Xenopus tropicalis: one gene and its partner. The protein of the gene in region 2 interacts with the protein of the main gene of each other region in a pairwise test. Links are inferred from orthologs where the notes say so. Each region holds a gene or a part of one and is shown on either strand. Other genes may lie near its edges. The genes, in order: flnc and myoz1.

Region 1 (12,366 bases), on a different chromosome or scaffold from region 2:
AATAATTAGTGAGCTATAGTTTTCCCTAATACAGAAGAGAGGAGATGTGTGCTGCAGTGCCGCATCAGTTCCAGTGTGACTGTGCCACATGCTAAGAGTTGTGGAATATGTTGAGTGTTTTGATCAGAGGCAAGCCACATGGGGGTGGAATTTAAGGAATCCCCAGCAACTGCTTCTGTTGAATAAACAAGCAACAGGCAGACCATCTGTTGTTGAGGGAAGGGGGAATAGAGCAACAAAAAGAAGTTTTATAATCAATGCCCAGTATTCACATGCAGTGTGAATCAAATTTGAGAGAGGGCATAATAATAATATCATTTTCATAATGCTTTTTTCCAGTGGTACTAATTGAGATGCTTCTTATTGTACTCAAAAAGCATTTTTTGAGTCTGTTTTTAGGACATAGTTGGTATTATGTAAAGTCTATATTAGTCCAATATTGGACATATTGACAAGACCTCTGAATGTGATAGGCTAAGAATATATGCATACTGTGAAAAATATTTGTATATTGGGCAGCTATGTAGATTATCATTGGATTGTTGTGTTGTTAAACAGACATGTTTCTATATGTGTTATCCTTTAAACTGTATATTTATATATATTTTGAAAGTATCAATAGAATGTACATGCTATCTGCCATCTTCATTATCTTTTCATAGCCTGTCTATATGAAGAACTATTGCTCCCACCCCAACTGAGGCATGCACTCCAATTAACCTTCAGAGACTGTCGCCTCCCCTCATTAAGCCCCCAAAACATTGTGCACCACACTGTACCCACACAATTTTATGTATATTTAATATTTTAACCTAATTTATTCACAGTAGATATATTTTTCTCCTGATTTTTTTGGCAGTGGTGCTTTTTCATGATAGCAGAACAGTGCGCTTGAAGAGCGCACAATGTCACTGACTCTCAGTATAGAAGTACTAGTAATATAGTAATAGGAACAGGGACCTTACAATGTAAGCTCCACTGGGGCAGGGACTAATGTGAATGATAAACAATATTTAAAAAGTGAAACATAAATGCATTGGCTTTGTATATAAATAATCAATAATACAAAATAAAATCTATATTTCTTGTGCAAAATCCTTATTCCTTATTTATAAAAGTATGTACACTTACATTTATGTATGTATAAACCCATGCATAATAATATAGAGCAGAAAGATAATTGTAGCGAGAGAAATGTGTAGTTTGTTGTTTGCGCTGCGATGAATGAATTCCTACTACTGTGTGCTATCTGGCAGCACATTAATGGCAAGAACTTTTGTTGTACTGCTTTTCTCAGCAGCAGAGAGTTCCAGCTGCTTTGTGTTACAGAAGGAGTTGCAGATGGAGCAAACTTCATGTAGGCATTTTCAGATGGCTCTCTCTGTTTACATGGATTATTATGATATCTTTTGCCATTGATATAAGAACAGCCATGCTGTGATGTCAAAACAAAGTCAGCTCCATCTATACCTATAAGGTTCCATGGAACCTTAAAAACCAATTAGCAGGCAGAATTTACTGGTCACCTGTTTAAAAGCAAACTACTGGTTGCTAATGGTTACTGCTCCTGGGCAAACTTAGTGCCTTTTACCACATGGGGAGGAGTTGTTTAATATTCCTATAAGTGGGCATTTACCTTTTGGTAACATCATTCCTGCAATACCCTATTGCCAAAACATTATCAATGCTAGATCACAAGTTGGCTGCAAAACTCATATTTGCGTACAAAAAGCTGTGGCATAAATGGCTGTCCTCTTAATGCCCAAGTTCTTATTTTTTTTTTTTATGTACAGCTATAATTTATAAACCATGCTTAACAAAATAATAAACATATTATTTATAGTCACTCAGTAAATGGGGGAAAAAACAAGGTTCCTTCTGGTTTGCATTAGCAGTTCAGTTTGATTCTCACCATTGCCTCAAGTGCTGGACTATCTCATAGCAGGTGTGATACAAATTTCACATAACTTTGAAACTGTAATTAAATTAAAGTTGTGAGAACATTTAATGTACAGCTATATAAGTTAAGTCCAGTATTAATCATCCTCGGTTCCACCCAACCCGAGGGGAAGCAGGACTGCATGCAATAAAACCTCTGCAGATCTCTGTCTTTGGCAGGGTGCAAGCAGGGGTGACATCCCTGAAGAAATCCTATTGCGCTCCACAGATTTATCCCTTTTCTGGGAATGGGTCAGGGGTGTGGGAATAGGATTTCCACATCAAAGGCTGATCACTGCAGTACAGTGTGTACAGCAGGGCAAGATGGTATCAGTAGCACTTTATATCAGAGCTCTCTACCCTACAGCCTCCAGCTGTATTGAAACGGCAACTTCTATTGTCTGCAACTATGGGATTTTATGACAAAAGCTGTTATGTGTTTATCCTGTGTGTATTCACTGGTGTAACTATAGACTGAGGAAGCAGACCCTGTGGTTGCAGGGGGGCCTGTGGGAGAGGGGGGCCTTGGGGGACTAATTAAAGTTATTATAAATCCTCCTCCCCAGCCACGTTCCTACCTGGCGTGGCACAAATGGGTGGGGAGTGTGGGACACCAGCAGGTAGGCAGGTAATGTGGGGTAGAGGTTGCTGTGCACGCCAGGCTACTCCAAAGTTTTTTTTGTAGAGGATGCACGGCACATTGTAGTTACCACTGTGTGTGACGAAACGAGACACCACTCTGTCCATGGGTGTTTCACATTGTATTTGCATGGCTGATTTATGAATATATAGTGATAAATTTCACAAGTGCATTTACCCATAGCAACCAATCAGATCTTTGCTTTGATTTTCTAACTTGTAGTGGCCTGTTCAAAGCTAATTGCTGACTGATTGCTACCTGCAACTGTACTTAAAGGAACAGTAACACCAAAAAATGTATATATTTCAAAGAAATTAAACTATACTGTACTGCTGCCCTGCACTGGTAAAAGTTTTGTGTTTGCTTCAGAAACATTACTAGAGTTTATATAAACCCTGGTGTGTAGCCATGGGGGCAGCCATTAAAAAGTAGAAAAGGCACAGGTTATATAGCAGCTAACAGATAAACCCTGTAGAATACAATGGTGTCTTATCCGTTATCTGCTTTGTAACCTGTGCCTTTTCTCCTTTTTTCCAGCTTCAATGGCTGCCCCAATGGATACACAGCAGCTTATTTATATAAACTATAGTAGTGTTCCTGAAGCAAACACCCCAGTTTTACCAGTGCAGGGCAACAGTACATTATATTTCAATTACTTTAAAACACTTTCATTTTTTGGTGTTACTGTTCCTTTAAGCAGTGCTGTGCTTTTAGTTTTTGTGCATTATACTGTATGGGAACATATGGGTTTATTGATTTTCCTCTGCCCTTTCGTTCAGTACCTACAGGAGTAGAGTCCAAGACTAAACAGAAAAACTTGGCCTTGACCCACAGGGCAGACTGAGATCACTTAACACTTGAATTACCATGTGGTGGAATGCATAAAAATGCTCTGCACCAGAAACACAAGTTAAAGCAAACATGAAAAGAAGCCTTAGATTACATTTTTTAAATAAACTAATGCTTGTTTCCTATTCCTTTCCTTATCAATTCTTAATCATCTGAACTGACCCTAATAAACATGCTTGGGTTTGAATAACCAGCTGTAAGATAAAATAACAGAGGAATTACAAAAAGTCTAAAAAAATGTTACATTTTAGGCTATAAGCAATCAGATATAAAGTTAAATAATTTAAAAATACAAAATGTTACACAGACTATAGGATACTGAAATATCATTGCAATTGCTCCTTTCTATTACACAACACGCAGATGTAAATTAAAATCTTGCTGTTGTGAACTGCATCTCCCATAAGTCACACAGGAAGTGTAGAAGTTATGATTGCACCCAGGGCTTGGGACTTAATACTATAACTTAAGTTATTTCCAGCCACTTCTCTGTGTTTTTTTCTGTAAATATGGCCAGACCAAAGGATGTGGAGAAATACATGACTGCCCTTAGTAAAAACAACTAAAAAATTATATACAGTGGTATACAGGTAGTTAACTGAAAATGCTAAAATGATAATCTAGTTTTCTCTGGTACATTAGGCACTGCCAATTAATATACTATATGGGGTTTAACTTAGTATAAAAATCAATCCATGCACTAAGCTTGCTTTAAAATATTATTCGGCCTATTTTGTCTTGTGATAACACATCAATTTTTTTTTTATTTAGAACAGCAGGTGACTGCAGAGCCATATATTTCATTCAACTTCCGTTATTCAGCCATGCCAATAAAGTATGTGTTATCAGGTTTAATTTGGTATGGTCTCATTGCGACCTTTGTAAGAAGACTCCACTGTTACTTAATATACAGATGAGATAATTTTCCCTGTCAATGACCCTTCTTTTCACATTAGAGAATCTTTTTTTAAAAACAAGATTTCTCTAAAAGGTCATCTAAAGGGACAGTAATGTGTGAAACAAGTTGTTCTCATGCACAAGAACAAGTACTGTTAAGTACCATTGGCTGCTATAATTGTTTATGAAGTTATTCATTTTATAAGCTCCAAAGCTGGAAGGTCTGCCAACCTATGGGAGCCTCTAGCAGTGACTTGGACAAGCTTGGACCTACTTGCTGTCTTGAATACTCTTGAGCCTATAACAGGGTGCATACTGTGCTTTTAAATGCATGAAGACAAATAGTTATATGAAGTCAGACTCAATAATGGTCCAGAGAAATCAGGAGGGCTTGAGTGAAAAAAGTTTCAAACACCCCTGCTAAAGATGTGCTTCTTTTATACAGAAAAAGAGCTCTTACCATAATAAGCCTACGTATATATTACTGTCCTATTTGGGAGAAATCATAGCTTTTTTTATTATACCCACTGAAAGTGTTTTTAGATATTCTGTGTGTAGTTAATCAATACTGAGAATTTTTTTACTTGTGAAATAATTTATGGTAGGCATACACTACTCAACTACAGAATTCGATGCACATTAACATTCTGAAGTTTGAAATTAAGACCCCCTATAGTTGTATCTTCAACCAAAACCATTTCTGTTCCAAAGAATATTCCATCAAGGCAGACATTATAGGTGCACAAAGTATGCCGGGTCACCAGGCAATTGAATGAAATCAGGGTCTCAAGTAAAAGATTTCCACATCAGAGGCTGATCACTAAACCCCTATACTTCAAGCCTGCACCATTTTGCTCAGCTTTGTTCCCCATGCTAGTGAACCCACCGAGAAGCATTTTGAGCTAGCATGGATTTGTGTGCAGGCAAACTTCTTCTGTTAGTACACAAAAGCCATGAATTTCTGCCTTGTATTTTTGTATGGTCATGGAACTCCTTGATGACTTGTAATAGCATTATATTTAACAACAGGGGTTTATATATATATATATACCTGTATATATATTTGCTTGTTAAAGTTTTGGTTCAGCACTTACTGTAAGTGAAATAATGTATTCAATGAGCTGGATCAATAGGAAAAAAAAACATTCTCCAGATGTTGCTCCATATTCTTGAATACATTATCTCATTTCATGGTAAAGCTTATAAGTGCTGACTTGTGCTTTTATTGTTCTATACACTATGCTTTTATTTAGGACACAGGGCTCTGTGGTTATTTCTAAAATCTTTATAAGTTTTATCAGGAGGTATATTGTCCTGTTTGAAAAAACAAACAGAATGAAAACTTTCCTCCATTGCATGAACTCTCTACTATGTGAGCATAGTGCCATTTAAAAACCCCCTCTTCTGCTGTCATCATGAGCCGCTCACAGTTTCACTTAAGAGTGGTGCTTCAAGGTTACAGGTTACAGCACTGACTCTGTAAGAATGCTGCACACTCTTGTAGTAATTCATTAGTTACTGCTGAATACAACTACATGTTCCACTGACTTTAAATTACAGATAAAGAAAAATTATAAAATTATTTCTGTAGTTTATATTAATTATTATTAATTAATATCCTGTAAATTACATGCTTATAAACAGTGTCTTATAGATTATGCTTATAGACAGTGACATTATCAGTTATAATTGGTGCTTAGTGATGTAATTTGTGTCACATGACTCACTGAAACTTGTGTATTATAAAAAAGAATATACCCCCTGTAGAAGAAGTCACCCATCTATATATATATAGTCATGGAACTCTTTATTGACATCTAATATGCTTCTATTTTACAGTAGGGGGTTACACTATTCCCTATATAAAGAGCTAATTCTGAGATCAAAAAGTAAATGTCTGGAGTGTATTACACATGAGCTACAGTGTGGGAGGGCCCCCATATCTGACTTACAGATAGCTAATAAAGTCCTTAGTGGCCCCCAACTTCATTCTTAAACGTTACAAAGTCGTTAGCTCAGGCAGTTCTGCCCTAAGTACCTCACAAGGTATTATACTAAATTACCTCCGGGAGCAGAACTTTGATGCTATAGCTAGATAGACAAAATCAAATCAATCATATAAAAGTAAAATACATTTGCCATGCATCACCTTAGCACGTGTGATATATATTTACTTATACCTGCCCACCCTTGTGTTAGAAACCCCCCAAGAACTGACCTATAGACACCAGCTTGATGTGCTCCCGATCCAGGAATTCCAGAGCCACTGACACGTTCTCCAGTTTCATCTGCCGAAAGTTGGGTCTGGAATGGTACTTTCTGTACATCTTCTTCTGACTGAGCACCTCCAGCAGGCCTATGAGCTTCAGGCCATCACTCAGGTCCTTCTGCAGGTCCCCAATGCGCTTGTTCATGCACTTGAGATGCTCATTACACCACCTGGTGAAGGTGTTCTGCTGGATCTTCTTCCAAGGGGCATCTTCTGCCAAGTCCTTCTCTGTAGCGGGCATCTCCTCTGCCTCTTCGCCCTGGTAAAACTGCTGCTGGTCGTAATAATCGTTGCTGCTCATGATGACTTTGGTTCGGGAGCTTTTCGCTTTTTATATGGGGGATCAACTAACGAAGCAAAAAAGGGTGGAGAAAATCACAGCAAAAGTGAGCAGGCAACTGCTGGATCCAAACCCCAAAATCTGTGAAATCAAGTTCAAGCTGCTGGAACTGACCTCAACAATCAAATTAGTTCCCTTATTATTTGTCCTTCGCTTGGAAACAGTGAGATGTTTTTTGGCTACGGTTCGATTAACCCTTGCAGGGGCTTCCTCAGTCCCCTGTGTCCTGGCTCTGAGCTGCGAGGGAGGAGAGAGTTTGCCCAAATTCCCTTCGCAATGATCCTTTTTCTTCCTGTCTTCTGTTTCCTTTCTGTGAGTCCTTTTTGGGGGTGACTGGGAGGGGGCACGGGATAAAAATGCAGCAGGTCAGGTCTGTTGTTTGTGTTAGAGAGGGAGATGGAAACAGGAATGAAAGAGATAAAGCAGAGAGGCAGCTCAGTCCTGGGGCTTCAGATCCCACAGCAGAAAGGAGGGAAGAGAGAGAGATAGAGGTGAGTCTGCAGGTCTTTGGCAACTTGTGTGAAAGTTCGGAGTCCTGGATGGAGTTGGTTTTAAAGAAAACCGATGCCCCCACCCTCTTTGGGCTCCTCTCCCCCTCCCACCCCCCACGTCAGAGGCATGGACTCCCTGGAATGCTTTTGCTATGACCATATACAACTAAGATGAGTATTTTCCTAATCCCCAGTGAGATAGTGAGCAGGGGCACGATTGGGTGCTATGGATAGCGGGGGCTCGGATTGGCTTAGGCTGCCCATGCTCTCACTGCTTGTAACATCTCTGTATTTTTAGACACCTCATGTCAGGGAGGTCTGGCTGTGAGGGGAAGGGGAGAGGGGGTAGAAGGAAGGGATCTTACAACACAAGTTAACAAAAGCAACAGATGTAATGCAAGGGGAGACCACCACCCTCACCCACCTAATCAATCATCTTCTACCCCCCAAAAAAGATAACTTCTGCATTAACTCATTCGGTAGACAGCAGGGCTAACCCTCTGACAGACACGCAGAAGTGCACAGGAAACCTTGTTGCAATGAGAAAATCAGCAAACTCAGCCTCTAGGCTTTTAGCCTGCAGGAATAAAAAGAATGGCTCTGGGTGATTATGAATCACCCATACCACATGTCACCATAACCACAGACATATTTCTTATATCAATTTATACAAACTCAACAGAAAAAAAATATAGATAAATATATGTGTGTAAAGGTGGCCATACACGGTAAGATCTGCTCGTTTGGCGAGGTCGCCAAGTGAGCATATCTTCTCCCAATATGCCCACCTACAGGTGGGCAATATTGGGCTAATTCAATCGTTTGGCCCTAGGGCATAGGTGCCGTCAGTTCGGGCACGGCATCAACTAGCCAATGTGGTCCTTGATCCAATGGGAAAATCAAACCCATTCAGGCCAGATGTCGGGCAGGGAGGCCTGTAGGTGGTGCCCATACACGAGCAGATAAGCTGCCTAATCAGTCTAAAGGACCACTATTGGCAGCTGAAATCAGCCTGTGTATGGCCACCTTTAGTAGCAGGAAAAGTATCCTTAACCACATGTAAGATACCGCTTCGGGAAAATATAAACTATGGTATAACGTTACTATAGGAATCCCTGCAAAAACTAACATTTAAATTGAAACAGGAGTAATTGGGGAAACTATTCTGCTTTTCCATTCTTCCAAGGATGTTGCATGTTCTCCTCACGTGTGTGTGGGTTGATTGGAGGCTAATTGGCTCCCAATAAAATTGACCATGGTGTGTGCTGTGGTGTAACTTTACTTTCTAGGGCCTTCCTGCAAATATATTTCAGGCCCCCACAACATCACATTAATGTGCCCTCAATCATCAGGCCTGGATTTGTGGGCAGGCTACAAAGGGCCAAGCAGGGGCGGGCCCTAGGCAGCTGCCTCTTCTGCCTACACCTAGTTCCGGCCTTGGGCCCAAGCCTAGGGTGGCATGGTGCCTGCTGGCTGCATCTGTACTGGAGACTGGATGGAAATTTTTTACAGCTGTTTGCATCTCCTGCCCACCCCAGTCCCTAGTGCAGCCAATCAGTAAAGGAGATGGTGCAGGGGAGGGTACACGTACAGGGGGGCAGGAGGGCAGAGGAGAGTGTGAGTGTTCAGGGGTCAGGGGTGCAAGTGGCCTAGGGGCACACCATGTGCAAATCAGGCCCTGTCATTTGTATGTATTGGCTAGTGTAGATGCAAGCATTATTGAGCCCTCCACTGTGGCTGGGTGTGCTAAGATGTTAAAGGTGAAGCAGGGGCGGTCCAAGCCGACCAGGCGCCCTAGGCAACCCAGTCGGCCACCTCGCCCCTTCCTCATTCGCCCCCCCCCCTTTGGCGTGCAGTTGAACACCTGGGGGGGGCGGGGTTGGCTTTGCGATTCGATGGATCATTGCCCCCACTGCCTAAGGACAAGCGGCGGGGGCAATGACTAAAGAGAGCGGACTAGGGGTAGGCAGGAGAGGCTGCCTTGCGCCCCCAATCACTGCGCCCTAGGCAGCTGCCTCTTCTGCCTACCCCCAGTTCCGTCCCTGAGGTGTAGTTCACCTGTATCTTAAATTTTAGCATAATGTGGGTAGTGTGTAACTATAACTTTGAAACCGCACAGAGAAATTTTTTTGGCTGCCAGGGTCAGTGACCCCCATTTGAGAGCTGGAATGAAAATAGTAAAAGTTAACTTAATCATGAACTACCCCTTTGAAGTGATGGGTCACCTTTAAGATAACTTTTAGTATGTTATAGAATGGTCGATTTTAAGCAACTTTTCAACTGATTTTCATTATTTATTTTGTATAATTTTTGAATTATTTGCCTTAATTATTTGCATAACTCTTGGCAGCTTTCAACTGGGGGTCACTGACCCCAGCAGCCAAAATAACATTGCTTTGTGGAGCTACAGTTTTACTGTTATTGTTATTTTTTTAGAACTTATTTTTATATCCAGCTCCTTATTTATATACCTGTCTCTCATTCAAACCACTCCCTGGTTGCTAAGGTAATTTGGACCCTAGCAACCAGATAGCTGCTGAAACCAATTTGGGGTACTGCTGAACAAAAAATGAAATAACTAAAAAACTGCAAGTAATAAAAAATTAATACCAGTTGCAATGTGCCTCAAAATATTACTCCCTATATCATACTACTCCCTACATCATACTAAAAGCTAATTCAAAGGTGCACAACTCCTTTAAACAGGACCTGTCACCCACACATAACAAACTGTAATACAAATCCTTTCAAAAATAAACATGAAACCAAAATTCTTTTTTTAATTAAATCATCCATACCTATTATAAATGTATTTAAAAATCAGACTCAGGCATCAGGCATAGAGGCGGGACAGGCAATATATTATTGACAGCTCAGATTTTTAATTACAATTACTTCTTAGATATCACCTAGATGGCAAGTGTATAAGATTTTGGGGTGATACAAAGCTTACCTTAATAACAGGGTTCACAAAATGGCGGCTGACAATAAACTATAAGTTCCATGCAGGATGCTGCCACTTTGCAGAGTGATTTAACAAAATTGGAAAAACTGGGCAGCAAACTGGAAAATGAGGTTCAATGTGGACAAGTGCAAAGTTATGCACTTTTGTAGACATAGTATAAACGCAAACTATCTACTGAATGGTAGTTTGTTGGGGGTATCCTTAATGGAGAAGGATTTTTGTAGATAACAAGTTGTCTATTTCCAGGCAGTGTCATTCTGTGGCTACTAAAGCAAATAAAGCGCTGTCTTGTATAAAAAAGGGCATTGACTCAAGGGATGAAAACATAATTTTGCCTCTTTATAGGTCCCTGGTAAGGCCTCACCTTGAGTATGCAGTGCAGTTTTGGGCTCCAGTCCTTAAGATGTGCAACTAAACTGGTAAAGGGGATGGAAGATTTAAGCTATGAGGTTAGACTGTCGAGGTTGGGGTTGTTTTCTCTGGAAAAGAGGCACTTGCGAGGGGACATGATTACTCTGTACATTAGAGTGGATTATAGGCAGATAGGGGATGTTCTTTTTCCCCAACGCACCAGAGGCCACTCCTTTAGATTAGAGGAACTGAGTTTCCATTTGAAGCAGCGTAGGTGGTTTTTCACGGTGAGGGCAGTGAGATTGTGGAATGCCCTTCCTAGAGATGTGGTAATGGCAGATTCTGTTAATGCCTTTAAGAAGGGCCTGGATGAGTTCTTGTACAAGCATAGTATCCAAGGCTATTGTAATACTAATATCTACAGTTAGTATTAATGGTTGTATATATAGTTTATGTATGTGATAGTATAGATTGGTAAGTATAGGTTGTATGTGCTGGGTTTACTTGGAAGGGTTGAACTTGATGACTATATAAGAATATGCTGAAATCATCAGAAATTTGGGTTTTCTAAGTCTGATCTTTGCACAGGTTTGTGGAAGTCTTTCATGGCTCCAACCCGGGTGATTTATGAAGACTTCATAAAAATAGTTATTGATGCTGTAAATAGTTTGGACTCAACCAGTCCACTGTCAGACAGATTGTTTACAAATAGAGGCAACTTAAAACCTTTGTTACCCTCCCAAGGAGTGTTTGATATCACCAACAGCAAGGTTCTTCCAGGAGATCTTGGAGAACCCGGGCTAATATCCAAATAACTAAAGCCCTCTCTTGCATTGGCAAATGTCAGTGTTCTTGAGTCTGCAAGCAGTGCACAACGTTTGAGTCATGTGGATTTGCCCCATACTTTCTCAGGTGCTATGAAGCCTGTGGATGGATAGGGCCAAAACAAAATTTTTGGCTTGCTTAAAAAGTGTTGTTTGGCAAACACTGCATTCCGGCATGATAACCTTATCCTATCTGTGAAATAAGTTGATGGCGATATCATGTTTGGGCTTGCTTTGTTGTCTCTGTTGTACTAGGGCGGCTTGCCATCATGTATGGAGCTATAAATTCTGACTTGTACCAGCAAATTCTCTGGAAAAATGTCAGGGTATCTGTCCATGAACTGGAGATAAAAATAAAGGGGCTTTGTAGGTGCAGGTCTGGTGCAAAAGCTGCAATGGGCCATTATTGAAATGAAATAGGACTACCCAATCTGTAGCCAGGTATTAGTCTATAAATACATCCTGCTTGGATTGGGCAAATGGAGTTTGTCCTGAACCTGCTTGTCACCCACAAAGGATGTGTTGATGCCTGCCCTAACCCACCCAACTTGTAGGTTTTGGGTGAGCCTGCACATCACTAGATTATACATTTTAGCCCAAAAATAACAATAATCCAAATCCATTTCTAAATTCTGCTTAGTGCATCATATGTTTGCTCCTCCTTATCTTGTGGACTATATATATATATGTGTGATGTACTTTTGCTATGAGATGCATGAGAGTCAGAGCAATGAGTCACAGTGAGTGAGTGAATCACAGCCTAAGGGAAGGAAGGAGTTAACCCTGATCACTGTCTAGGAAT
Region 2 (11,581 bases):
TGAATTTTAACCCCCCAAACAACTAGTATTTTGCTATTGACAGTTTAAACGTAGGCTTTGCAAGCACAGACAATCTGTAAACTGGCTCCTAGACCATCTGTCCAACAGCTAAATATAGACAGAAATATAAGAAGTAAAAGCCATCAGACTCACTGGGATTATATAACCCTGACTGATGGAAGGCTGGAACAGCACAGCAGAACATGCTAATAGGAGGGGAGTGAAAAGTGTAGGGAAAACATATGTACAGATCAGCAAACTGAAATTATTTACCCTGCTAAAATGGAACTAATAAAGAGTTGTTTTTCTGTATTCTTGTGTGTAGTTGTCTGACTGGATGGTTTGTTGTCATCAGTGGGCTGTAACACTAAAAGGTGCTAATTGATCAGCACAAAATTGTCATCACTAGAGATTGTTGCTGGACATACTGAAACACCACAGGAACCCTATAATTTATATAGTTAGGGATTTCAGTCTTTTTGGGTATAAAGTGCCCAACTTGTATGCAGGAGTCCTGTAGACATTAACTGAAAAAATTTTAACCTGAAAAAATGTTATCCCTATTTTTCTGTAAATGCATAGCCCTAGTACCAGGGATCATGGGGCTCCATACTACTTAGTTAGTAGGACTCTCCTCTCTAGGGGTCCTCAGTCCTCTCTTCACCTGGGCCCTCAGAGTGGTGGGGCCTACTAAGGAGAACAGGGCTTTAATAAAGGAAATAGCCAACTAAATTACACTAAATTACACTTGCCATGTCGCCAATCTGCCTCAGCACACTCCATTATGCCCAGAACATGCACACCATCCACTCAAACCTTACCCACTCCTCAGCAAGTCCTGTCCCTTCTCAACCTGTGAATTAGACCTTTGCATCTTTCTGCATCCCCAATTGTCATGGAGTCCCTGACTGGAATGTTACTGGAGTGGCCCTACTTTTTTGCAATCACCTATTATGAAATCTGTTTTGTATGTTCCCCTGTAATCCGTTATCACCTTCATTTTGTATTGTAAATTGGCTTTTTTAATGCAATATTTATCCCTATTATTATGATGAGTGGTTAAATTAATGATATTTATGGGGACATGAAGGCAAACCCTGCAATTTCTGTAGCTACACCCCTGCCCTCTATGTAGAAAAGATAAATAAAGCAACATTTAGTAAAATGCAAACCAATTTTCAATACTGACCAATAATGTATCTATAAAATTATGATTCCACCAAGTATGAGAGATGCCAAATACAGGTTTTCGTAAAGTAAAGACAAAGACTACATCACTCATCACTCTGTGAATGGCATTTCATATGTACAGAGCAGAGAGCTGGCCATCACCATCAAACATGACAGCTCACTTACCTCTGAGGGTGTTGTACATAGGATGTTTTGTCCAAAGATACCTTTTCATTGATGTCAGTGTGAATCACTGCCAATAAAACATTTGTATTGTAGGAGAATGCAATTTCCAGAGGCATCTCCAAGGTGTTCAGTTACCCGATCTATAGGAGATTTAGCTTGGGCAAAACGTCCTGTGGTCCATTCCCTAAAACAGTGATCCCCAACCAGTGGCTTGTGAGCAACATGTTGCTTGCCAACCCTTTGGATGTTGGTCCCAGTGGCCTCAAAGCAGGTGCTTATTTTTGAATTTCTGGTTAAGAGGCAAGCTTTGATTGCATAAAAACCAGTGTAATTGCCAAACAGAGCCTTCTGTAGGCTTCCAGTCAACATAGGGACCATCAAATAGCCAATTATAGCTCTCATTGGCACCTCCAGGAACTTTTGTCATGCTTGTGTTGCTCTACAAAGCTTTTTCCATTTGAATGTTGTTCACGGGTTTAAAATTTGGGGGATTCCTGCACTAAAAGGACAACTAAGGACCCAAAAAAATTTCTGTATTGTGTGATGTTTATATACATCAGGCTGCTGTTTCCATGTAAAGCTATAATATACAGTAAAGTTGTACTTCTATGTCACCCACAATGTCTACTATCAAGAATCACTTGCCTTACTAATTGTTTACCCCTGCATTTGGAGCAAGGGGGCCTTTCCTTTAAGTACAGGACTCCCCTTCACTCAAAAGTGGTGAACACGGATAAGTTGACACAATTCATAGGCGGATTTTCCATAAGGCTAGGGTAGGCTAAGCCTCCCCAAACCTGCTTGGCACATTAAAAAAAAACAAAACAAAAAAAAAAAACCTTACTCCGTTTCTGCACTGTCCTGGAAATCTGTTCTTGCAAGCCCGTTTTGCTGTGCTCCGATTGGATCTTTCTTCTTGTGGATTGTCCAATCAGAGCACAGCTTTCTTGACAGACAGTAAAATTAACCAATCAGAGCACAGATGCACACAGGGATCGGGAGATTTTGCACACTGGAAGCAGTACAGAACTGAAGACTGAAAAGAAGAATCTGCAGGCTGTAACTTTACCTAAGAACCAGCTTTTGCTGCAGTTTTCATCCCACAGGTACTATACACAGGTACTATACAGTTCTAAAGAATCACTAGCTGACATTAAATTGTTTTTTGCCTGACCTGACATCTATAATAATTTATAATCTATCACCTACCCTAACAGATGGAGGGTAAAAAAAAGTTAACTCTTTCCCCTGCAAAAGCTCATTGTGTGTTTATATATTTGTTGTTGTTTTTTGCACTTACTATTTTTTTTTGTCATTGTTTTTTTTATTTCTAGTTAGTTACAGTGGGGACAGTGCTGTGTATCAGTGCCAGTGTTATAGTGCCAGGGCCTGAATATCTGCCATTTGTACCCACTGTGTCTCACTGTATATAATGTGCTGGTTTTGTATATAAAGACTGCGTCTCACTGTATATAATGGGGAGTCAGTACTCAGTACCCTTTCTTGCTATAAAACTAACATAAACACATCTAAAGGGGTGGTTTACTTTTAAGTTAACCTTTAGTATGTTATAGAATTACCTATTCCTAGCAACTTTGCAATTGGTCTTCCTAATGAATTTTTTTGAATAATTTGCCTCTCTTCTGCCTCTTTCCAGATTTCAAATGGGGGCCAAACAATATTGCTCTGTGAGGCTACAATTTTATTATTATTATTATTATTATAATTTTGTATTACTTATTTTTCCAAGTAGGCCCCTTAACTATTCATATTCCCATCTCTTGTTTAAACCACTACCTGGTTGCTAGGGTAAATAAGACCCTAGCAACCAGATAGCTGCTGAAATACCAAATGGAGAGCTGCTGAACAAAAAGCTAAATAACTGAAAAACCATTAAAAATAAAAGTGAATTTGAATGCGAACTACCCCTTTAAGCTAACTGATCACAAACACAAATGTTTGCAGATCCCCTCACAGAACTGCACGTATGAATACTTTTACATCCTAAACATTTTAGGGTAAAAAAAAAGCACCCCCCGCACTTTTGTACAGTATCCCTGGGAGTCAGTGGGAACGGCAAGAGGTAGTTGGGAGGTTAATTTTTTACACCAGCAGTGAATCCACTAAGTGTCACATTAGCTGTAGGTCAGCCTGTGTATGGGCCATCTTTAGCCTCCCCAAACAAAAAAGTCACCCTCCACCTATGACACAATTGAAAAGGTAGGGTTTCTTAAGGTGTGTACAGTAGAGATGACTGAACAGCAGAGCCTCCAGGAGATGCTACTCAGGGACGTTTTTACAATGCATTGGGTATTATAACCCCCACCAGCAAAGAATTATTTGTGCAGACTGGGCAGATGTCAGTGTAATCCTACATTGAAAGATTATTTCATTCTGTCTGTTTTACTCACTAGATCATATCACTAAATATGTTTCCACTGACTTCTGAGATATCTTTTGAGGTCTAAACAGAGATCTGATTGCTTTGCCCCAGGTAGGCAAGTCCTACTGTTCTAGTAACCCATAGCAACCAATCAGCAGGTAGTATTTACTGGTCAGCTATTTAAAAACAAATATCTTAGTGGTTGCTATGAGCTTTTTAATTACCCCCAGAGGCAGGCCAAGCCAACCAGGCGCCCTAGGCAACCCAGGCGGCACTTCACTCCCACCACTGCTTCCCCCGCAGCCCTGCCCGCGCAGGAACATGCACATGCTTGTCATTCGGGGAAGGGGGGAGTGGAGGAAATCAGCAGTGGGGGTAAGAGATCCTGGCACCACAGAGTCATTTTTTGCACATGCTCAGTAGAGTGAAAAAGTAAACTTGAAGAAAAAGCCCTGCTTTATTACTCTACTGCACATTTTCTGGCCAGGGCCCGTGTTGCCCATCCAGAAGTACCCCGTGCTGGTGCAGTTTTCTGCTAACAGGAGACTGGTCTGGGGTATCAGGTAAGTGATTAATCCCTTGCAGACAGCTTATCTTCTCTAGTTTGTGTGGCCCCATGCTTTTTCTCCTGTTTTCTAAACCTCATGTCAGCATTTTGACATGTATGCTGCTATCTTGTTGCTATGCTTACTGACCGCTGCAACCAGACATTTGCTTGAATGAAGAATGAACAGGAGAGTGTTCAAACAATAAGCAATAAAAATAACAAATAAAACCCATCACCATGATAATTCTGCTGCCTGTTTTTCACAGTCACTGATACTGACATCCATGTAGCATAATCAGTTACAGGATGGAGATTGAAAGAACAAATGCAAATAATAAAAAAAATACAAAAATTAAAATAAAGACCTACAGCGATTCCATCTATCTGCAACATGCAAGTTAATTCTCCCTAATATTATCTCAGTGAATGTATATTTAGACCAGCCCATATCATTCTCATCGGCTTATTATATTTTCACCAGTAAATTGCAAGAAATCATAATTTCTGTTCCCAGCAAATTCATTTAGTCATAATGATATCATAGATCTCACTAAAGTTAATATGTTAGTACTTTGATGGCATGGAAAGAAAAGGCTGAATATCTTCCGGCCCCCGGGTTATCTAAAGCAAGTGATTGAGGCCAGCACATGTGTTTCTATTTCCAATATCCTGAAAGGGAGCTCCCTGACTTGCAGCCTCTAGTTATGTTGCTTTATTCTTAGACAACTTCCAAACTCAGCTCTCTGTTCATGTCCATGTCCCTGCCTCCTGGGAATATAGTAGACGCAATTAGTCAACTTAAAGGGGCAGTATACCCGCTTCTTCAACATTCGTTCCCAAAGGGAAGTGGTCTAGTCCTGTTGTCCTTCCCCTTTCAGTCACTTCTGTCTATAATGAATGTATTTTTATGCAGTAGGACAGTGGGAAGCCCATTATCCCAATTCATACTGGAATATTGCTCAGTAGCCGGTAACAAGAATGATTTTCATTAAGAACTATCTCTGACATCATCATTTACCTTTGAGCAGCAAATTTTGCCACAGATCTCCAAAAACAAAGCGACTCAAAAGCTCAGGAGAAAAACAAACAAAGAAATCATGTACTGCAGTATTTTTTCAGTTATACAGTATAGGGTTGATTCACTAAAGTGCGATAACGCATATCGCATTTTTTTTGCGTTAAAATCGACGCGAAAAAAACGTGCAATTCACTAAAGTATTATTGCATGCGTTAAGTTGCAAATCATGTGCGTTAAATAGCGTGCAACTGCATGCGTTAATTGTACCGCATTGTGTTAATTAGCGCGCAGAAATAATACTAACACATGATTCACAAACACTTAGGCGCGCTAAATATCGCATTAGTCTGTGTGAAAACACCTACTTGGGGCAGGCGGTAATTATAGAAAAGTACAGTTAATGAGCTTTTGGCAATAAAATATGGACTTTGCAGTGGGATTTATTCAAGTATGTGTTGGCCCTAGAGTGATGTAGCCTCCAGTTTGCAGGGAAATGGTCATTTTCAAAAAAAGTAGTTTTACGAACGTAATGCTGTGTATGGCTAATATGGCGTGCACACGAAAAGTAGCGCACGTGCATTAATTAGCGCACGTGACAAGTAGCGCATGTTGTGTCAAATAACGTACGAAAATAGTCTTCACAACTTAAATAACGCAAACAGCATTGCATCTAAATTAACGCAATATCCTTTTAGTGAATCGTGGGTTAAGACGTGAAAAATTAGACGCGATAAAATTTTTAACACATGCTATAAATAGCGCTCATTTTAACGCACTTTAGTGAATCAGCCCTTAAGTGTCTTGTGTGTCTAGGGTTGCCCCCTGCCCAGCTTTGACCCGGACAGTCTAGTTTTTGGTAGTGCTGTCCAGGTCAAAACTTCATGCCCGGTGTTTAAAACTATGGAAACTGGGAAGGGCTCTCTTAGACTGACCTGGCGATTGGTCAATTGACAATCGCCACATCATAACCGCCGACCCTGATGTAATCAACCACGCCTCTATAATAACCTGTCCCACCTACATGATGCCCTGCCCCACCTCCCACCTTGTTTTTCTACACTCCGAAGGTGGAAACCCTATGTGTGACAAGCAAGAGAAACTTAGAATACACCCTTAGGGCATTTCAGGTTCAGCTTCCCACTTCACAAGATAGTACAACACTATCTTGTGCAGTGATCCCCAACCAGTGGCCTCAAAGCAGGTGTTCATTTTTACATTTCCATTTGGAGGCAAGTTTTAGAAGCACAGAGACACAGTTTTACTCCAAGCAGAGGCATCTGTAGACTAGTAGTCCATGTGGGCCTACTAAATAGCCAATCACAGCCCTTATTTTGCATCCTTAAGGAACTTTTGTCATGCTTTTGTGGCTCACCAACACTTTTTACATCTGGGTGTGGCTCATGAGTAAAAAGGTTTAGGGATCTCTGCCCAGAGTATAAGGGGTCTCACCATGCTACAATTTGATAAAAGATGGGTAGTTCCAAAACACTTGATAAAATCAAGCCTTAATAATATAACCCCTGTCTCCCACATGTCCAGACTATAGGACAGTAAGAGCATTTATTGTGAAAATTTGTATTTATTTATTTATTTATAACAGAATTCTAAATAAAGTTGCACTCACATTTGTATGAATGTTTAAAAAGCTTTTCCTATGCCTGTCATGTTCAATGTCACCACCACACGTGGCAGTGGATTCTGTAATGCCACAACGGGTTGATGTCCCAACCTGATGTGTTTTGCCTGACAACTTTCTCAGAGGTTTACATTCTTGTTGTGCATGTTCTGAATATTTATAGTGTGGATCTGCTCTATCTTTTGCCATGGGAACACCTTGCATAACTGCTATGAAAACCTGCCTAACATTTGATTTCACTCTGTATTCTAAGATATCATACAAATAGTATCCAAATAATACTATAATAACAGTTATCCTTAATTAAAACCTTTTTTTCTAGATTTCCATTTTAAATAAATACCATTTAAGTAACTCATTCAGAAAGCAACATCTGGCACTTCACTGCTCAGTTCTATCACTCTTCTTGGAGCAATAAAAATAAGCAAATGAAGCATAGGGAGATGCCTCCTACATTAGTAACTTAACTATTGGGAGCCAGCTGGCCAGCTGGACTATGCATCAGGGGGTATTTGTGGCGAAAATTCATGATATTAGCAGTATAAAATCATTAATTTCACGAAAGCCCAAAGAAAAAAATAATGTAAATTGCAAAAGTGCATTCTTTGGGGGTGGTTAGCTCCCTTTAAAACATAGCTAGTTTGAAGGAATCATTTAGTACAGCTAAAAATGTTGAATAAACCAAAATCAGATGAACAAATCTTACAGAATATTTATTCTTCTTACCAAGGAATTGTCGGAAAATACGTCAGGGTTGTTTTCATAGATAAATTTTTCTACCCTCTTTTGACGAAGCTTAAACATCTTCGATCCTTTGTTACTGAGCAAGGATAGTTCCTCCAGCATGATATCTCTGGGAACACTGATCTTTTTCCCTAAATTGAGTTTGGAGATTTCTATCTCTCCTTCTCTTGATGCTACAAAAAAGAACATGATCAACATTTTGATAGTTTATACTACAATATTTTGAATCTGTAATAAATAAACAATACAGGTATGGCATCCCTTATTCAGTAACCTGTTATCCAGAAAGCTTTGAATTACGGGAAGGCCATCTCTCATAGAGTGCATTTTAAAGGAGAAGGAAAGGCTAATAAAGAGTTAATCTCAAGCTGCAGGCATACCTTCAGTTGTCTCAATAGTGCCCTTAGGTCTCCCCATATTTTTCCCGTTCAGATGATCAGAAGCCAAACAGGAAGAAAAAACGCTGAGCTGTGTAAAGAAAGTTCCCATAATGCCTCGCTCCTGCACCAAGAGCAAGACTGGTGTACATGCTCAGTGTGTAAGACTATGGGGCTGATTTACTAATCCACGAACGCTCCGAAGGCGTCCGAATGCGTTTTTTTCGTAATGATCGGTATTTTGCGATTTTTTTCGTAAATTGTCGCAACTTAGTGTGTAAGACTATGGGGCTGATTTACTAATCCACGAACGGTCCGAAGGCGTCCGAATGCGTTTTTTTCGTAATGATCGGTATTTTGCGATTTTTTTCCATAAATTGTTGCAACTTTTTCGTAGCCGTTACGACTGTTTCGCAAAAAGTTGCGACTTTTTCGTAGCGTTACGACTTGCGCGAATTGTCACGACTTTTTCGTAGCCTTCGCGCCGAGTATGAAAGTTTCGGATTCATTCAAGCTTCAGTATCGTGACTTTTCTTGGGCCAGGTTGGAGCTGCAGAGTGCCATTGAGTCCTATGGGAGGCTTTTACGAGCGCTCAATACGAAAAAGTCGCTTCAAGATACAAGCAAATCGTAACGGCTATGAAAAAGTCACGACAATTCGCGCAAGTCGTAATGGTTACGAAAAAGTCGCAACAATTTACGAAAAAGTCGTAACGGCGACGAAAAATTCGCAAAATGTTAGTTTTCCAATCGGAATTTTTCCCATTCGGATTCGGATTCGTGGGTTAGTAAATCAGCCCCTATGACTCAGCTTCCTGCTGATTGGCTCAGATCCACATTCCTAAGGGGAGGGAGTGAGTTCTTAGCATTCTTGTGGGAGAGGGAGCAGGAGAGGGGAGAGAGCTGCATGTCTCTAGCAGAGGAAAACAGACACAAGAAATCTTTTGACAGAGAAGTCAGTGCAGCGTTTCTGTGTGTGCTTATGGCTGCATTTACATAGACCTTTCTGATAAAACTTACTTAGTTTTTACCTTGATGATCCCCTTTTTCCTTGTAATAATAAAACAGTACCTTGTATTTGTTTCCAACTAAGCTGCATAAATAAATGCATATTGGTGGCAAATCAATCCTGCTGGGGTTTAATTTAATATTTAGATGCTTTTTGTAGACTTAAGGTTGTATCTATAGGAGATGCAAATTACAGAATAAACCTGTATCCGGAACACCCCAAGTCCAAATTATTCCATATAATAGATCCTATACCCTTGCCATGTGCCAGACATACTTGATTCCTCAGATTGAAACCATTATGGTCTGCCTCTGATCTGAAGTGACCTTTTCCCCACCCCTTAGGATGCCACAGTCATTCAACCCCTCCCTTACTTGGGTGTCCTTCTGCTTTCTAAAAATGTCCAAATAATAGTGAACAGAAGGAGTGTTTTCAGCAAGTTACGCTAAGGAGCCATGAGTGGGCAGGATTATTACATTCCATGGGGAAGGGTTAAGTGGAAGGGGTATTAGAGAGGGCAGAAGACGTGGTCCCAACCTGCTTAGAGAAATGTAAGCTAGAGGAGTCAAGGTTGGTGGTACAACCAGATTCTCTGCAAAGCAAAGGGCTGGACATGATCACTTTAAAATTGAACAAATTGAGGGATAATGTTGGGAGGGAAATTGTCCACCCAAGTCAGAGGCAGACCATCATGATTTCCTTTCAGTCTCAGAAATTATTTATGTTTGTATTAAAACGACAATTTAAATCCATGTTTCACATTAAAAAACACATGATCTTTTTCATTTTTATTTTGGAAAGAGGTTTATTTTTTAATGCAGCACATGGATTTCCATATTTCCCCCTTAAAAAAATGTATGTTCTTTTTGTCAATTCAGGTAGTTAGAGATGGGAGATGCTCATGGGGGGGAACTGCAACCCGTGACTCCGGAAATTTTTCGCTGAAATCCAGAAGTGATGTCACCGTGCATGTACACGCACTCTTCTGACGCAACTGACCAATTCCTGCGCATGTGCACAGGCCCCAATGATGTCACTGTATGCTTATTGTGCATGCATCGGCTGAATTCACAGGAGAGACTAAAAAACCTGGGGGTAAAATGAGGTACGGTGACAGGAGGTTGGGGGAGGGCTTACAAATGTAATGTAAATTTGTGATGTGTCTGGATAATGTCTCTGCCACTATTTTGTGTAAGCTTAGTGCATTAGAGGGGTATTTTATCACTTTAAGCTATGGTCGTACAAGTTATGGAAAGACCCAGGTCCATACATGTATATTGTTGTTAAAAGTTTCAATACAGACTATTAGGAAACCTAAGAAGTTTCATTTTCTTTGGAGGGATTCATTTACAGCCATGCCCAACTGGCCTCAGGTGTGAATCCTGTCACACTGACCCATGCACTCTTCTGGCATCTTGTTGTTCCTTATAACACAATAGGAGGACTGTGGGTCCACAGAAATACTAGGGTGGAAGGAAAAGGTAAAGAATATGCTGCTTAACCTGCAAAGATGTACATGACCCATTAATACACACAGTGCTGTATAGCAGAATGCAAAGCATGCCATGGGATTCTAGTCAGTTTCCTGAAATCTTTGTTTATTATAATTTTTTGGAATATTTTTTTAATTCATTATTTATATTACCATTTAAAAGAAGGGTGAACTTACAGAAGCAGATCTACGGGTAAAATTAAGCAACAAAAACAATGTTACTGCACAAAAGCAACCATGCATAAAACAGTTCATATGTAAAACCCTGCTTCATCTAAATAAACCATTTTGCATACAAATATTGGTTAATGCTAAATAAAAAATGCCATTTTAAATATTAAAATGGCCACCCTCAGGGATCATCCGATTCACGGTGCATACAAACAAATCAAGGGCACACATACATTTAAGGTCGCATAAACCAATTCATGGACAGTTCTGTCTTTTACTTCCCACACTTCCTCCTGTTACAGTTAGAGCTGCACTATTTCCTGTCAGGTGATCTCTAAAGGAAGCACACAGACACAAAATGGTGGCTCAAGGTAAAAGATGTAAAAGGGCAATATTTAATATTTATATTCCAATTTGGTATGATTCTTTAATAGGCCGCTTGATATGATATAAAATATCTGTTGGTTTAGTATTCATTCTGGGGATATAGCTTTCCTTTAAGTCTCTTTGAGAGCAGGAAAGCACAGGAACAGCAAAACTTGCTGTTCGTGTGCTTTCCTGCTCTCAAAGAGACTTTTTGTTTTGGTTTTGTAATGCTTCAGGTAAACAGGTGATTTGCAAAGAGACAGCCTTGCCTACATTCAAGAATCAATGCAACATGGATAAAGGTTCATCTTCTAACGCAGACAAGCATGTTGTATTGAGTATCAATCCCCTTTGTTAGCACATGCAATTTATTTATGCCAGCTGTTGTCATTAAAGGGAATATACATGTTATTTATAATGTTAATTTCTTTTTCCTCAGTTCTCTATATATGTGTGCTATCTTGTCTTTTCACAGTTTCCTT

Evidence for each region.
Region 1: the proteins of myoz1 (region 2) and flnc interact in a two-hybrid assay, tested with the Homo sapiens proteins (2 studies listed by BioGRID and IntAct). The link is inferred for Xenopus tropicalis from reciprocal best matches to the Homo sapiens genes MYOZ1 and FLNC.

Annotation. Positions count from the first base shown.
Region 1 is NC_030679.2:87,429,957-87,442,322, reverse strand, and holds the start of flnc (filamin-C), read right to left. Parts: upstream 7,474-12,366; 5' UTR 6,895-7,473; coding exon 6,543-6,894; intron 1-6,542.
Region 2 is NC_030683.2:44,123,168-44,134,748, forward strand, and holds part of myoz1 (myozenin-1), read right to left. Parts: intron 7,858-11,581; coding exon 7,667-7,857; intron 1-7,666. UniProt on the Homo sapiens protein: Myozenins may serve as intracellular binding proteins involved in linking Z-disk proteins such as alpha-actinin, gamma-filamin, TCAP/telethonin, LDB3/ZASP and localizing calcineurin signaling to the sarcomere.